2 linked regions of the Neurospora crassa OR74A genome follow. The protein of the gene in region 1 interacts with the protein of each later gene in a pairwise test. Links are inferred from orthologs where the notes say so. Each region holds a gene or a part of one and is shown on either strand. Other genes may lie near its edges.

Evidence for each region.
Region 2: the proteins of NCU03028 (region 1) and NCU03357 interact in a two-hybrid assay, tested with the Saccharomyces cerevisiae proteins (2 studies listed by BioGRID). The link is inferred for Neurospora crassa OR74A from reciprocal best matches to the Saccharomyces cerevisiae genes DSK2 and UFD2.

What each region holds. Positions count from the first base shown.
Region 1 is NC_026501.1:8,390,993-8,398,061, reverse strand, and holds NCU03028 (deubiquitination-protection protein dph1), read left to right. Parts: upstream 1-3,296; 5' UTR 3,297-3,565; coding exon 3,566-4,000; intron 4,001-4,065; coding exon 4,066-4,926; 3' UTR 4,927-5,379; downstream 5,380-7,069. Other genes in the region: NCU03029 (hypothetical protein), read right to left, coding at 5,380-6,671, 6,742-7,069. UniProt on the Saccharomyces cerevisiae protein: Involved, with RAD23 in spindle pole body duplication. Involved in the ubiquitin-proteasome proteolytic pathway.
Region 2 is NC_026502.1:986,232-993,604, forward strand, and holds NCU03357 (ubiquitin conjugation factor E4), read right to left. Parts: upstream 4,534-7,373; coding exon 3,779-4,533; intron 3,717-3,778; coding exon 3,503-3,716; intron 3,444-3,502; coding exon 2,041-3,443; intron 1,985-2,040; coding exon 1,048-1,984; 3' UTR 918-1,047; downstream 1-917. Other genes in the region: NCU03356 (hypothetical protein), read right to left, coding at 5,975-7,373. UniProt on the Saccharomyces cerevisiae protein: E4 ubiquitin chain-elongation enzyme specifically involved in polyubiquitin chain assembly.

The sequences.
Region 1 (7,069 bases):
ATGCGGTTGGGAAGACTGTGCTCCACGGCCATCGTGGGGAAGTTGGAAGCTTGATCTATTTTGAAGGAAGCGAACCTAGTGGAAGCCATCGAGTGAGAGCTGGGTGCAAGGTTGAAGTGAGTGAAGCCTGACTTTGAGGCCCATCTGGGCGGGGAAGTTTGACACAGGCCAATCTCCCCGCCCCAAGACAAAGAATTGAAATTGGAGAGCGACTTTTCATGGTGGCTTGGTCATAGCCCTGAAAGCCTGAAAGGGCAGGCGCGATGACATGATTGCGATCGTGGCATCCGTTCAATTCCTCGCGCTGGAAGGAGTGAACAGCACAAAGGTGACGACCAGGGTTAGAGGGGTGAGTTTGTCAAATGCGCCCAGTGTAAGTAGAGGTACTTACCCTTAAGTATATTGCATCCGTCTTGTTGCTCAAGTTACCTCTACTGCTACTGGGCGGGTACCTCTCCTCCCTGTCTCGTTGCCACGTTCCTGGCCGTTGTGCAATGTCTCGACAACGGATCTTACGAGATGAGACACCCATCAGAGGCTAAGCTGAAGTAGGGGTATCTGCTCGAATTTGATGGCATTGCTGTTTCGAGAAATTATTAGTATTTTGGCGCCGGTTGAACGATGACGAGGAAGCCCGATTTGGACTGGAATGATGCAATGTCCTAAAACACACGGCCCAAGCAGTGTCTTCCACATGGCAGTTCCGAAGGGACCCTTCCCTAATTTAGTCATCACTGCCCGGGCAGTAGAGGTAAAAGCCCCTGTCGTCAGTGAGGATTTTGTTAGAGTACAGCTAATAGCGTCCCTGTACCTAACCCTGCCACTGGCCAGCTCCAATTGGGCTTCTGTGCCTGCGATTTTCTACCACGTCAAGCAGCAGGGCATCATGAATACAGGCAGTAGGAACCTCAACCTCACACCCTCGGGCAACCTACCTCGACACAGCAAACACAACGCCTCCCTGCGTGTCCGACACTTGGTCTCAGCGCCTCAACCTCCGATCTCTTTCTTTGTGTGCCCCCACGAAATCGATGTCCTCGCCATGTTATGACGTGTTCCACGCCGCTCCTAAAACCCGAGTCACTTACACAAGGCTGCTGTTGATGCAGGTGCCCAATTCAACGCAAGTATTGGATACGGACAGCATTGCTTAATTCCATCCGCTTCGTGCCTGGCCACTTCTTGGCTCACTAGAGGACTCATCATGCAGTCAACTCAACAAATTTAAGCACACCCGCCGGCGTCCGGCAACCAGCCTGAAATGGCCTGCTGTCGGCTGTCTAGCTTCAACCGTGGAGAGCTGTCATGTGTTCCTTCAGTCAGTGCAGCAACATGGCTGGAAACCCCCTTGTTCGGAGACAGAAAGTTGCACGCGACCTCTTGGTACTTGATGCTGCACCTCCAGTTGCACAACCGCCAGTCGTGCCATGGTCGCTCTTCTCAGCTGGTCGGTATTTCTCCGATGCGCCCTGCCCCGAACCGCGAGTGGTTGTCATAGAAGTTCAAGAGCAGGAGTCCTCGAAGAGTGCCTCGTATGTCCATATGATGACTCCTATTGCGTCCAATTTCTCATGTGGCTTGCCGGCATGGGAAAAAGACCATCTGTAGCTGAAAGACATGCAGCGGGCGGGACCTTCCATGAAAACTGCAGTTTGAGACATTGCTAACGAGCGAGGAAGATTCCATTAGATCCTTGGGATCCTGGTGTCGTCTGTCGATAAGTTTCGGTCCAACGTGGCAGCACAGCCTTTCCTCAACGAAGCCCGGGATTGGATCTCTTCGAGGCCCAGAACCGGAAGGTTGCATTTCACGAGATCGATTCAGGCAGCGCCTGTCCGCTGAATCCCGTATACAACAACCCACATGACCGGCGTCGCACGCGTAGCAGCTCTACCTTGACGGGCCATCTCTTGGGAAAGCGCTGATCTCCTCCTCAGTCCATGCCCTTGCCCACGCCAACTCCACTTCAGACGGACGAACGAAGAAGAATCCTCATCAACGTGAGGGCACTCGCTGCTAGTGCGTCGACATCTCGCATTGACGGACAGCCTATCATAGTGTAATAGTTCCATGATCTCAAAGGTTTGTGGAAGACAATGGTCGCTTAAGCACGTCGTATCCTTGCTTGGCCCGCAGCAAGAAGAACTGCCTAGGCGGTATGCTCTAAAGTGCGGTTAGAGATGTGTCTTGATGTACACCAAGGCTACACCAAGGCGGTGAAGGAGCAGATGCTCGATATCCTTGATACACTTACCTGGAGTATCCTGGCATGGTCCACGGACCATGCACTCTGAGCTGTACATACCTGTCTGGTATAGTCCATATGTTCTACCTCCTAGTTCGCTGAGGTTGACGCGACGGCCCATATAATGCCGCCATAACAACAAACGCTACTGATCAACCGAAAACGTGAGTAGTTTGCGAATACGATTTTGTTGTGCAGGTTTGACGGAAGACATCAACGAAAGATTATTCTCGCCAAACCGGCTATCGGCTGAGGGTCACTGAACCTTCAAGAATGCTGATTGCGCATCAAAGTAGGAGGTTTGATGCGTTGAGTTTCTTTCATCCACCAGAATAAAAGTGTAGGCAGAAGCGATGAAGTGTCTGCCATCTGAAGAAAGTTTGTTCAAAACCAGAGAAGGGAAGAGGTTTAGGTTTGTCAAGGGAAAGAGTGAGACGATTCGCCCTCGTCCATTAGTTTAGAAGGTACATGGATTTGGTTCGAAGCAGCAGCTAATCGACAGTACCCTGTCATCACACACATGCGATAACAAAAGCTACTGGACAAGCTGATAAGATGGGGGGAACCGGTCAGGTGTCAGGTCATGTGGATGCCGAGAGCCCGATAGAACCTCAAAGAAGCGGATGGGTGTGAGAGCAGGAGAGTACTATCAAGGTGTCGCAGCTGACTGGAACTAGTAGGTGACAAGATAGTGGCTCACCATCTATATGGCACGCAGAAGTTGCAATCAGGCACCGTTCGTATCATCCATCGATTCCATGTAGTATGTATACCTATGTATACGCCTAGTGACCGGCGTTCGTTACGTCGAGGCCCTGTGGGAAAGCTGAAGTAGGGTACTAAGGTACTGTAACATGCACTTGGTAGGTAGGGTTAGGGATGGAGTCGTGTTCAACGACAGAAGTGAAGCCTAAAAAGGCAAGAACCTCGGTGAACACTACACTACCTAGTATACCTTAATGACGGCTTGTAGTGGGGTCTGCTGCCTGCCGTGGAGGGGCTCTTAATGCCATGCCACCCACCTGCCACTGTTGGCGGCAGCGCTTATCGGCCTCCGCCTGTGACCTTCCAACATTACAACAACTCAATTACTTTGGTTCCCAACACAACCCTTTTCCGTAGCATCACCATTCCTCAACTTTCACCAGCACACGAAGCTATCGTAATTCCATACGAACGACTTTGCAGCAGGCTTTCACATAATCCCATCACAAAGTGCTGAACTCGAACGTGGGGCGATCGGAGCTCCCCTGAGACCAACGTCATCATCCACGACCGCCATTAACCGTTTCATTGCCGAATCGTAAAGCGATAGAAATCATGGCTGAGGCTTCAAATACTGGCGGCGATGGCCAGATTACCTTCAAAGTAAAATGCTCAGGCGACAAGAACCACACAGTCACCATTGCCGAGTCTGCGACCGTCCTTCAGCTCAAGACCCTGTTAGCGGGGGAGGAATACGAGAACATCTCGCCGGAGCAGCAACGCCTCATCTACTCCGGAAAGGTCATGAAGGACGATGAAGTTCTTAGTTTCTACAAGATCAAGCACATGAACACAGTGCACATGGTTAAGCGTCCAGCCAGCGCCGCGACAGCCAGCAGTGGCTCAACCTCGACACCCGCTCAGCCCGCGATACCTCAGAACATGGCTGCCGGCACTCCCTCGAATAACCTTTTAGCTGGCCTCACAGGCGCTCGCTTTGCCGGTCAGGTGCCGCTACCAAGCCGAGACCTGTTTGGGCCGGACGGAGGAGTACGCCACCCCTTTCTCGGCCCCCTGGACCCTTAACATAGCTGTTTACTAATGATGTTTTATAGATGGGCGCGCCTCCTAGCGAGGATGAAATCGCGAACATGCTCTCGAACCCAGCGATGGCCCAGGTCATGGCCGAGGCGTTCAACAACCCCGCCGTCATCGACCAGATGATTGCCTCCAACCCGATGTTGGCCAACATGCCCGCTGATCGCGCTCGCGAGCTTCTCAACTCTCCGATGATGCGCAACATGATGACGAACCCGGAGGCACTTCGCATGGCGGCACGCATGCGTAGGATGATGGGCGGAGGCGCCAACGCCTTTCCAGCGCCCGGGGTAACGGACAACACTCCGAACGCGACGACCGGTGCCGGTAATAACAACGCCAATGCCGATGCGCAGAACCCGTTCGCCATGTTTCTTCCATTTGGTGTTCCTCCGGCGGGCGCTCCCCCAGCAGGTAATCCCTTTGCCGCGCTCTTTGGAAACCCCGCGGGGTCTTCGCCTGCGTCTACCGGAGCTTCGACCGAGAGTGCCAGGAGCGGGGATGCCGCATCTGCTCCGGCTACTGGCGCCACTTCGGGGTCTGGGCAGCAAGCAGATCCGTTGGCATCTTTGTTCGGAGCGCTTGGAGGTGCTGGTCAGCCTGGTCAGGCTGGTGCCGCGAACCCTTTTGGTTTGCCCCCTATCTCGCCTGAGGCCTTGCAGCAGATGATGCAGGCATTTGGTGGCGGTGGTTTGGGTGGTTTTGGCGGAAATCCCGTTGCTCCTCCCGACAACAGGCCGCCAGAGGAGAGGTATGCTGAGCAGCTGCGTCAACTCAACGATATGGGTTTCTTCGATTTTGATCGGAACGTTGCTGCACTACGCCGCAGCGGTGGTAGCGTACAGGGTGCTATCGAACATCTTCTGGGCGGTTCTTAACTTAAATTTCTTTACTAGACGGTGCAGAGATGTGGACCGGAGATTGACAGTTATCTGCTGTTCCTCAAGGATACGGCGGTATTCACAATGAACGACAGAATGTCGAGGGGATAGTGGATTGAAGGATGTCCAGGGAGTGCAGTGTTATCTCCTGGCGAGGTCATTGTTGGGCCGTGCTAGATATATTTTAATCAAATATCTAGCGATAATGGTTGCTCAGGAGGACGATAGACAGTCCAGCACAGAGACGATGCTCAAAACAACACCCCTTCAGCGGGTGTCCTCACGTAAGGAGGTTTACATGTTTACAGTTTAGCGATCTTTATCAAACATGTCTCCTCTTGCTTGAATCAACAAGGTTCTTTTGTCCTCTAAGAAGACGAGTTCGCATACAGTAGCCGGGCTAACTATCAACACCACTAATCAACTCTTATTTGCATGCTATCATTCCCTCTACCGATAAAGCACCGTCAAATCCCCAGCCGGCACCGGAAAGTTCCTCAATTTATCCATAATCTCCGCGTCCGTCATGTTCCTCTCCGTCATGATCTGATCAAAACAATGTCGTCCATCCATATACTTTTGCAACGGATCCCCACTAGCCTTCATCATCATCGCCATCTTCTTGCTGTTCGACCCCTTCCCCCCCGGACCCCCATGACTCCCGGGTTCACGATAGGTATCATAATGTCCGCCCGGCACCGCCACTTTATGTTCCCTCCCCATTTCCCCTTCGCCATACCCCCTCCCACTTTTCCCTTTGCCTGTGCCAGTTCCGGTGTCGGATGGCGAAACAGGTCTAGCCAACCCCGTAGCTAGCGCAGCCAGATACTGTTTCGAGATAACATACTTGTGCACCCTGTACAAACACCCCTTGATGACGCCAAATTGAACTAAGCGGCGAACGTCCACGTACCGTAGGACGTCGAAGCCGGAATCCATATGGCCCTTGAGCCATTCGGCCACGGTTTTGCCGACGCAGAAGGTAGTCATTAGGCGGATTAGCATGTAGTTGGATATGCGGTATCCGTTGGGTGGTGGGGGCTTGTTAGACGGTGGGGAGGAGGAGGAGTGGATGTTGGAGGAAGGGTTGCGGGGGGAGGTGGAGGGCTTTCGTTCGTGGACGGGGGAGAGGTGGTGTTGGGCGTAAGGGCTGGGATCGCGGTCGGAACCACCTCCTGGGCCAAGGCCAAAGGGGGAGAGGTGGCTGTGGCGTGTGCTGGCAGAGGTGGAGAGGTTGGAGGGATTGTGGTTGTGGAAAGTGGTGCTTCCTGACACAGAACGGAGACGGTGGTAGTTGTCGGAGGAAGAAGAAGAAGAAGAAGGTCCGGCGCCGGTGCCGGTGTTGTTGCTGCTGCTGGGAGACGGATCGATAGGTCCGACGCAGACGTAGTTAGCACATTCGTCGACCATGCCGCCTACGTTGGCGATGAAGTCGTGGATGCCCGGGCGAGGGGCGTAGCACGCGCCGAACAAGAACATGTCTAGGAGCAGGATAGTGTCGTAGTAGAGCAAGTGGCGGAGGGCGAGCTGGGTCAGCTCGAGGGAGACGCCGGAGGCCAGAGCAATGCGGCGCACGTCGGAAACGCCATCGATATGAGCGACGACGCGCTGCAGGGTTAGATCCCAGGTTGGGTCGACGACGTCGGCGAACTTCATCTTGGCGACGGGGACGTGCCAGCCTTTGACTTCAGGGGGGTTGACGTGGTGAGGAAAGAGTTTCATGTTGATTGTGTTAGCGTCGTCTGTTTTGAAACGGTCAGCATTTTTTGTAACTAAGGTGATGAAGGGGGGTGAATAGGTAGGGAGATATACCAATGGGAATCATGCACTCTCCATAGTTATTCAGATCCTCCTTCACAATCTCCAGCAACGATTCTATCGGCCGCCGCATACTCACCATTTCATTCCCGTCCCCATCCACCCAACGGCCCCCGCCATTGCCATACCCATGAACCGCGACCGCTCCGCCCCTCGTGGCCGCGTCCTGGCTCAGGTAGCCGTCCTGCTTCTCCATCTCGGCAAAGGTGGCCGCCAGCCTCCTTACGACGCGTTCATAGGGGATCTGGTCCACCACATCGCAACTGATGACGAGCCCAAAGTTGAAAATGAACTCGTTCCGGTCGTACCGCGGGTCCGGAAT
Region 2 (7,373 bases), on another chromosome or scaffold:
ACCTACCAAGCAATTGCTAAGCTCGCCCCGTAGCTCGCCTAAGCACTGTGGGGTCATTACACTACTGCGTACAGTATACTACTGTAATGGAGACATTCCGTTTAGCGTGGGGTCCATTGAAAACGTCATTGATGCACAGGTGCGCTCGCTACTTTTTTGCCCCGAGGTTACACAGTATTTCTGTACTACTACGCTACAGTACACTAGGTACACTACGGCGGGCGATAAACCACATTTGTTATCTGCTACCTAACTCCGAAACTGCCGTCTTGTTAACGCCGTTTCGTCCTTTCATTGTAACACCCGGACTGGTCTGGTGCGACAACTTGATTGGACCTGAATATTATATCAAGATCGAGTTTTCATTGAGTAGCCAAATGTCGATTTGGTACTTACACACTACAGTCTGTTTGTCGGTGATAAAATATCATGAGGTGGATCAGACCGTTGAAACCAAGTGTTGCTTACAAATTGGTTACTATCTCATGTCAACGACCGGAGACTCTTTTTTCTTTTTCTCGTGGTCAATGTACGTTCGTGTCCTTTGTATGCTGATGGGAAATTCCATGAAGCTTATACCTATAATGAATAATGTCTTGCCCTTGACAAAGTTGATGGAACTTCTGGAAGTAGCCTTGGCGGGCGAGCATAAACCGAACAGGAACAGTCCAATACTGTCCGTTGTGGTTAGGAAAGCTGCCAGAAAATCGTAGTAGGAATCATCATACTATGCAAACACGCTAGCTACAGTCCCTTCGGGATGCCTTTCGTTATACATGAAATGCCTAAAATTCAGGTTCAAAGGTACAAACAATATGCGTAGAAATATTATGAAAGTACACCTGAGGCATAATGTACAAACCACAATTGTGCAGACTAACTGGGTCTCAACAGATTTGTCAGGGACGAGCCAAGATCCATAGCGATTTTCTTTACGCTTCTTATATTCCTCCTATCTCTTATTTACGCTGATGCTTCATGTTATACCTACCAAACCAAGAATGTATGTCTATGTAGGCATGTAACCACAACATCCACCCCGACCTCTTACTCGGTAGTGTCCATAGCATCTCCGCCCGTCGCCGCCTCCGCTCCGGCAATATCACCAACAGCAGGCGTCACTTCCTCGACCTTGCCGCGAATCTCTGCCCTCCTGTCCTCCATCCACTTCTCAATCTTAGCCTTCAGTTCCGTATCCGGAATGACATCATCAATAGTCATGGGCTGTCTCGTGAACGGGTCTTTCGGGTCACTGAGCAAGTGCTGCACGATAGTCGACCGATCGACAACGTGCTTGCTGGGTAGAATCACCGGGTCCTTCATCAAGTCGCCCATGATGGGGTCTTCGAACTCGGGCGGTGCGTCGCCAAAGTCGAGATCAGCCTGGTCGACGATGGCCTTGGCCTCTTCGAAGCATTTGCACAACACCTCCCACGCGTGCATCTCGGTAGGATTCTTGAGTGCCTTTGAGCGAAGAATGTTGGTGGCAGACGCCATGGTCTCAGGCTTGTAGGATCTGCCGTCTGCAGCAACGGCCTCGACAAAGGCAGGCGAGGAACCCAAGTTCAGGTAGATGTCCACGAGCTGCGGTAGCAGAATCTTGGGGTTGAAGCCATACTTGTCGGGGTTCTCAACCTTCAACGTCCGGCTCTTAGGACCGGTGAGGAGGTCAAGGTTGAAATCGAGCATACCGGCCAGGCGGTGAACGATTTCTGGCATGGTGAAGGACTCAGCCAGGGTTTGGGTGAAGAGCTTCATCATGCCGACTGTCTCGTTCGCAAGCTGCATATAGGAACTGGCCTTGTTTTCCGCGTCGTGTAAATCGCTCTCCATCTTTTCGCGATCCTCTTGCGAAAGACTGGGGTCCTTTAGCTTTTGCTGGAAGTCATGGATCTTGGGGAAGTTGCTCAATGCTTCATCCAGAACGTATGTTGCATCGTTCATGAGAAGATTGACAAAACGAACGAAGAAGTCGCGGTCCACCCTAGGTCGAGTTAGTCGGATTCAGCAAAGAGATCGTAGGACAAAACATATACTGACCTGCTGGACTCTGTCAACTGCTTCTTGTAATGGTCATTGGTCCAGACGCACTTGATAACCTGGAAGATCTCAAAACGTATGTTGAACTTTTCGTAGAACGCGGAACTGGTACCATTCGACTCGCACTCAATATAGTACTTCATCACAGCATGTAGCAGGTAGTCATTCGCGAACTTGGTGCCGGTAAGGATGTCGCCAAGAATGCCCTTTTTAAGATGGTATGCCGGCCAGGTGCCCTGATAAAGGAGGGTAACCAGCGACGATTTCAAGTACGGGTTCTTGATGTACTCGGAGGATTCCAGAAACGTTATGCATAGAGCAACGACCTCGTCACCAATGGCCGAGACCATGACCTCTGGCCTATGGCGGAAGGTGAACTTCAAGTTATCAACAATTACCTGCAGAACATACTCGGGAAGACACCTGAAAGCTTCTGGCTGAGTTTCAGGCAGCGGAAGGCTGATTTTCTTCCATGGGACGTAGTCGGACTGACTGGCTACTCGCAGTAGCCACACAATCGTGTACTTCATGAACTGTAGTGACCGCGTTTGCAGCGTCTTGTCGGTCATAATGCCTTCGATGGCAAATTTGGCCGACATGGCGCTCTCCAGCATCTTGATCAGTCTCCTCTGCGCCGCCTCTAGCATAGGTACTCGTTCCGGATGATTGGCGACAATGTTGGGACGGTCAGCCTCCATAAGGGTCAAGTTCTTTTGGAAATGCTTAATTTGCTTGTCAAGTTCCTTTAGCTTGTTTTGGGTGGCTTCGGTGCCATACTGATGTGCCGCCAAAGCGAGGAAGAAGACCTCTGTTATAAAGTTGTTCTCCCCTTCGAGTTTTGTAGAGTAAAACGCGTCCGAGTGCTCTTGGTCAGCGTTGAGCTTGGTCTCTTCCTTGATGTCCAATCTGGGCTTCCGCCTGAAGTAGTCGACCTGAATACGGTCAATCTTGGTAAAGGAGTTATCCATGAAAGGCTTGCATAGATTGTCGAGGACGACAGTGACATTGACCATGAAGCCGTCCGACGAAACGGTCTTGGGGTCGACATAAGTGGCTGTGCGCTTATGGTTGACATTCATGATGTAGGCGAACCAGTCCAGGAGCTTGTTTCTCGAGCTAGTGCTTGCTCGTATGAAGGCATTAGCTATCGTCGTCAAGTGTTCCTGATGGGCAGCCAACGTCATTTGTAACGATTGTTGGGTTGTGCCAATTCGGCCCTTGTCAAGAGTCCTTGGTGCGGCAAAGTCGTAACTGGCCGCCTCTGGGTGTAAGGGCGACAGGCGGAAGAATGGCCCGAGCAGCGTGAACCGTTCAATGTTGGGGGCTGATTGCGCCATAAGGAAAGTAGGGTGTTCCGCCAAAGCGTTCACGAGAGCCGGATATCTCGAGTATGTGAAGAGGGCCTGTGAGGTTCCAACGTCAACGCTCAGCACAATTCGTTCAAGTCGCTTGTCAAACTCACCTGGACGTGCGGCTGATAATCGCCGTTCATGTTTTTGGTAGACAGCGCTGTGCTGATTTCCACCATGGCCTTGGTGAAGAGAGGTACAATGCTATCGTCGTCCTCGATCCGTGTCATGGCCTCGTTGTAAAACTCGATGTCGAGGCCTTCTTCCTTCGCAACACCTTCCAAAATGTAGGGGACTATGGTATCGTGCTTTGGGTTTGGTTCTCGACTTTTCAAATTTGGATCATGTCAGCTAGAGCAAACTGTAAAGAGGACACGGGGGATAAATACCCAAACATCTCGGGCATAGTAACGGCGAAGATGCAGTTCGAGAAGCACAAGCGCTTGGCCTCCTTGAGGGCTTCTTCCTTCTCAGGAGTCGACGCCCTCAATATCCTATATCTGGTGACCCGCTTCCAGCATGCCAGGAAGTATTCGAATAGGGGCTTGTGCGGCGGATAGATCCTTCCGGCCTCCATAACGGCCTCTTGAAATCGGTCGATCGACAGCAAGGGCTCCTGATACTCGCCCCGAATTTCCTGGCTGAGTTCTGGCAGAAAGGTCAAGTTATGGCCACTGCTATCGAAGGTCTGGTTCGGATCGAGAGACACGCGAAGGATGCTGGTGAGTAGCTTGTCGGTCCATTCCTCGAGCGTCTGTTCCCTGTATTGCTTTCGCGGTGCTGGTGGGCATGGAATATCATCAATATTTGAAAGGGATCTTTCTCTCTTTCGGGAAGCGGAACTACCTGGTGGTGGCTCTGGCACATCTCGTGACGCCGGCTTGATTATCGACCTTGGCTGAACTCGCGGTGCCTTGTCTTCGATCTTTGACGAACTCGCCGCCGCCGCCGCCGCCGCCACAGCAGCAGCAGCGGGAGGGGTTTCGGTGCCAGGCTGAGGCGTGGAAGAGGACGCAGCTGGCGATGTAGTAGAAGCGACATTGGGGCCACCGAGCTTAGCCAGTCGTCGGGCACGGATCTGCTCCATCGTCTCTTTATCAGGCGCATCCGGCGTGGCCGCCGGCTGTTGCTGATTCGGATCCATCTTGTCGTCGTCGTTGGGCGAAGAGGAAAGGGATTAAGGATGTACGGATATTGTGATTATCGTGACGGAGAGAGCCTAAGGAGAAGAAGGGCTCAAGCTGGCGGTGACGACGTAAAGCTGGATGTGCGTTGGGAGGTTGAGGCGAAGGATGAGGAGAAGGAGGATGGAGGTGACTGTCCGAAGCTGGAGGTTGTCTTCGGCTGCGGGTGCTCAAGGTTGGTACTTCGCTCTTGAGCTAACCACAGTAGTATGTGATAGTGCGGGTGCCAAAGTTAGGTAGTAATAAGGAATGACTCTAGCATACTCTAGCGGAAAGCCCTCGGATAGTGATCAGGAGGAAGTAGCAATTCCCATGCACCTTTTGCGCTGACAAGATTACGTTGACATCTGTGAATGTGACGTGGAGCCTGCCTGCCCCGAACAAGCCTACTGCATGGAGCTCCTGGAGTTCACAGGTTGGCGGGGTATTTCGGGACGTTACTTACATTTAGTGCTTTTGGCGGGACATGATTTACTGCACTGTAGGCAATACTGGTTCGATTGTTAGCTCCCGCGGGTCTTTGGATCAACTTCCCGTCCCTATAGCTACCTCTTAGACTATGCGTTTTCAGACTGGGAATATGCTTCCATTTCTCCAAAATGAAAGAGAACGAATTGGATCTTGTTCATGCCTTTCATTCAGTCCTTGTACGGTTTGGGACAATTCGGAAGACGGGAGATCTCGTCCAGTGTACCAGGAGTACCTCTAGGTACCAAGCTAACAAACAAACCAGCACCATTGTACTACATATGTAGTCTACCATAAGGGGTACTTCTATGTAGAGGTAACCTCGCAACCTAATGAAGCAGAAACGGGCTGAATGACAAGAAGATGATAACTAATTCTTCGTTGGCGTTTTTCATGGAAGGACCCTAGAATCACTAGTATAACGCTGGATGTGACAGTGACTTTCCTTCGCCGTAAATGCGGAATGCAGCTGTCATTGTTCAACTCATCTACATGAATAGGTAAGAAGATTACGGGGAGCCAACAAAGTCAAAGCATTCTAGATACTTTGAAAGCCGTCTTGTCCAAAACACCATGGGAAACAGACCTAGACCATGTAGCCGTTCTTTCAGTTGCTATTAGCTCTTTCAAGCGTGCCAAATTCCAACACAGAGGTTTGATTCGTCTCCTATATTCTTTGGTCTATAGGCTATCTAAGCTTTAGACCAAGGCCCGACGTTGCAATAAGACAACCTCCAAGTGCTTTCCCGATCCATCCCAAACGCCAACATACAAAACCTATGCATACCCGTTCTTCTCCTTCAGACCATTATGGTATGTTTCCAAAACCAACAGACACTGTTACTTCCGTTCGGGACGGCTCAGACACTGAGGCACAGCAGCAGAAATATATGACCCCAGTGTCTGCCCCAGGAAGGCGAACCCAAACATCCATCAAAGTCGAGGTGGATTCTCACCCCTCCCCACGCTACTCCTCCTCAACGGCGGGATATCACTGGTATTGAGATACCTCCCTCTCGCACTCTCTCCATCACCATTTCTGCTACTCTGCTGTGTCTGTGTAGCCGTCCTTGACGAGTTGGAAGCACCAGCCGCCGCCGCATTCGTCCTGCCTCTCCCCTCCTCGTTATTACCACCAGTACCGCCACTGCCGCCACCACTGCCACCACCACTAGCAGAAATATTTGATCTCGTAGTCCCGGGCGTTGACCCAGAGCCATTTTGCTGTCCGCGACTTTGCCTTTGCATGCTCATCAACCACGTAGTATGCATTCCTAATACTCCCACTTTACTCCCAAGCTCGGCGATTTGTTCATTCATCCTCATCGTATCATTGACCAGCCTCATTGTGTGTCTCCCGTCAAGCTCCACCATCATCTTGCGCAAGTCTTCAATCTTGGCCTCCATGGCCTCAAACTGGGAAAGCATGTAATCCTCTGGTGACTCCCACGGCCCGTCGCCACTGTTGTGTGCCCACGGGGCCGGGGGTGCATCCGCCGCCATCGCTGCCGCCGCCGCTTGTGGGCTACTGTAGTTGCTGTCATTGTGGTGGTTGTTTTCTTGGTCGAAAGTTTCAAAGAGGTCATCCAGCGTGATGTTGTGATTGGCCTCGTCGATGTCTGCGTAGCCTGACGTGGCCGACTGCATACGGTTCAAGTTGTTGAGGGCATCAGCGGTTAGGCCTGACGATGGCGGCGCTGCTCTGGTGAATGCAGATGACTCCCGTACCCCACTGCTGCCAGCACCACCACCACCACCACTACCACCACCATATCTTTCCAGATGTCGTGTTCGTCCGTCTAGAGCGTCTAGTCGTCCCTTCAACTCATTGATAATCTTGTGGTCTTCCTCCCGCGCCTGCATGAGATTCGCAATCGCCTCATAGATGCACCCGTTCTTGAGATGCTCCTCGATATCTTTCCTCCGCGCAACCTGTTTGCACCCAGCGCTCCGGAACTGGCAGTGTGTTTCGACCTCGCGGCAGTCAGTCGCAATGTGCTTGGCCAGACGGTGGCGGACGAGGACAGCGTCGCAGTGCGGGCACTCGGCTTCTTGTCCCGTACACTCTTGGTCGTAGTGCCTCTCGAGGTCGTTGAAAGTAATGGCCATCTCGCAGTAGGGACAGGGCGTAACGTAATGGAGACACCCGTTCTCGGGGCGCGCGTCTTTCCGGCAGATCATCTCGTCGCAATGATGGTCGGGGCAGCGAACAAGGGTTTGTCCGCAATAACGTTCGACGTGTGCGTATAGAAGCTCCCGCGAGCAAACATGATCGCAGCCGCTATTTGGACACTTGACTTTGAGACGGTCGAGCTGGTCGAGTATTACGCGG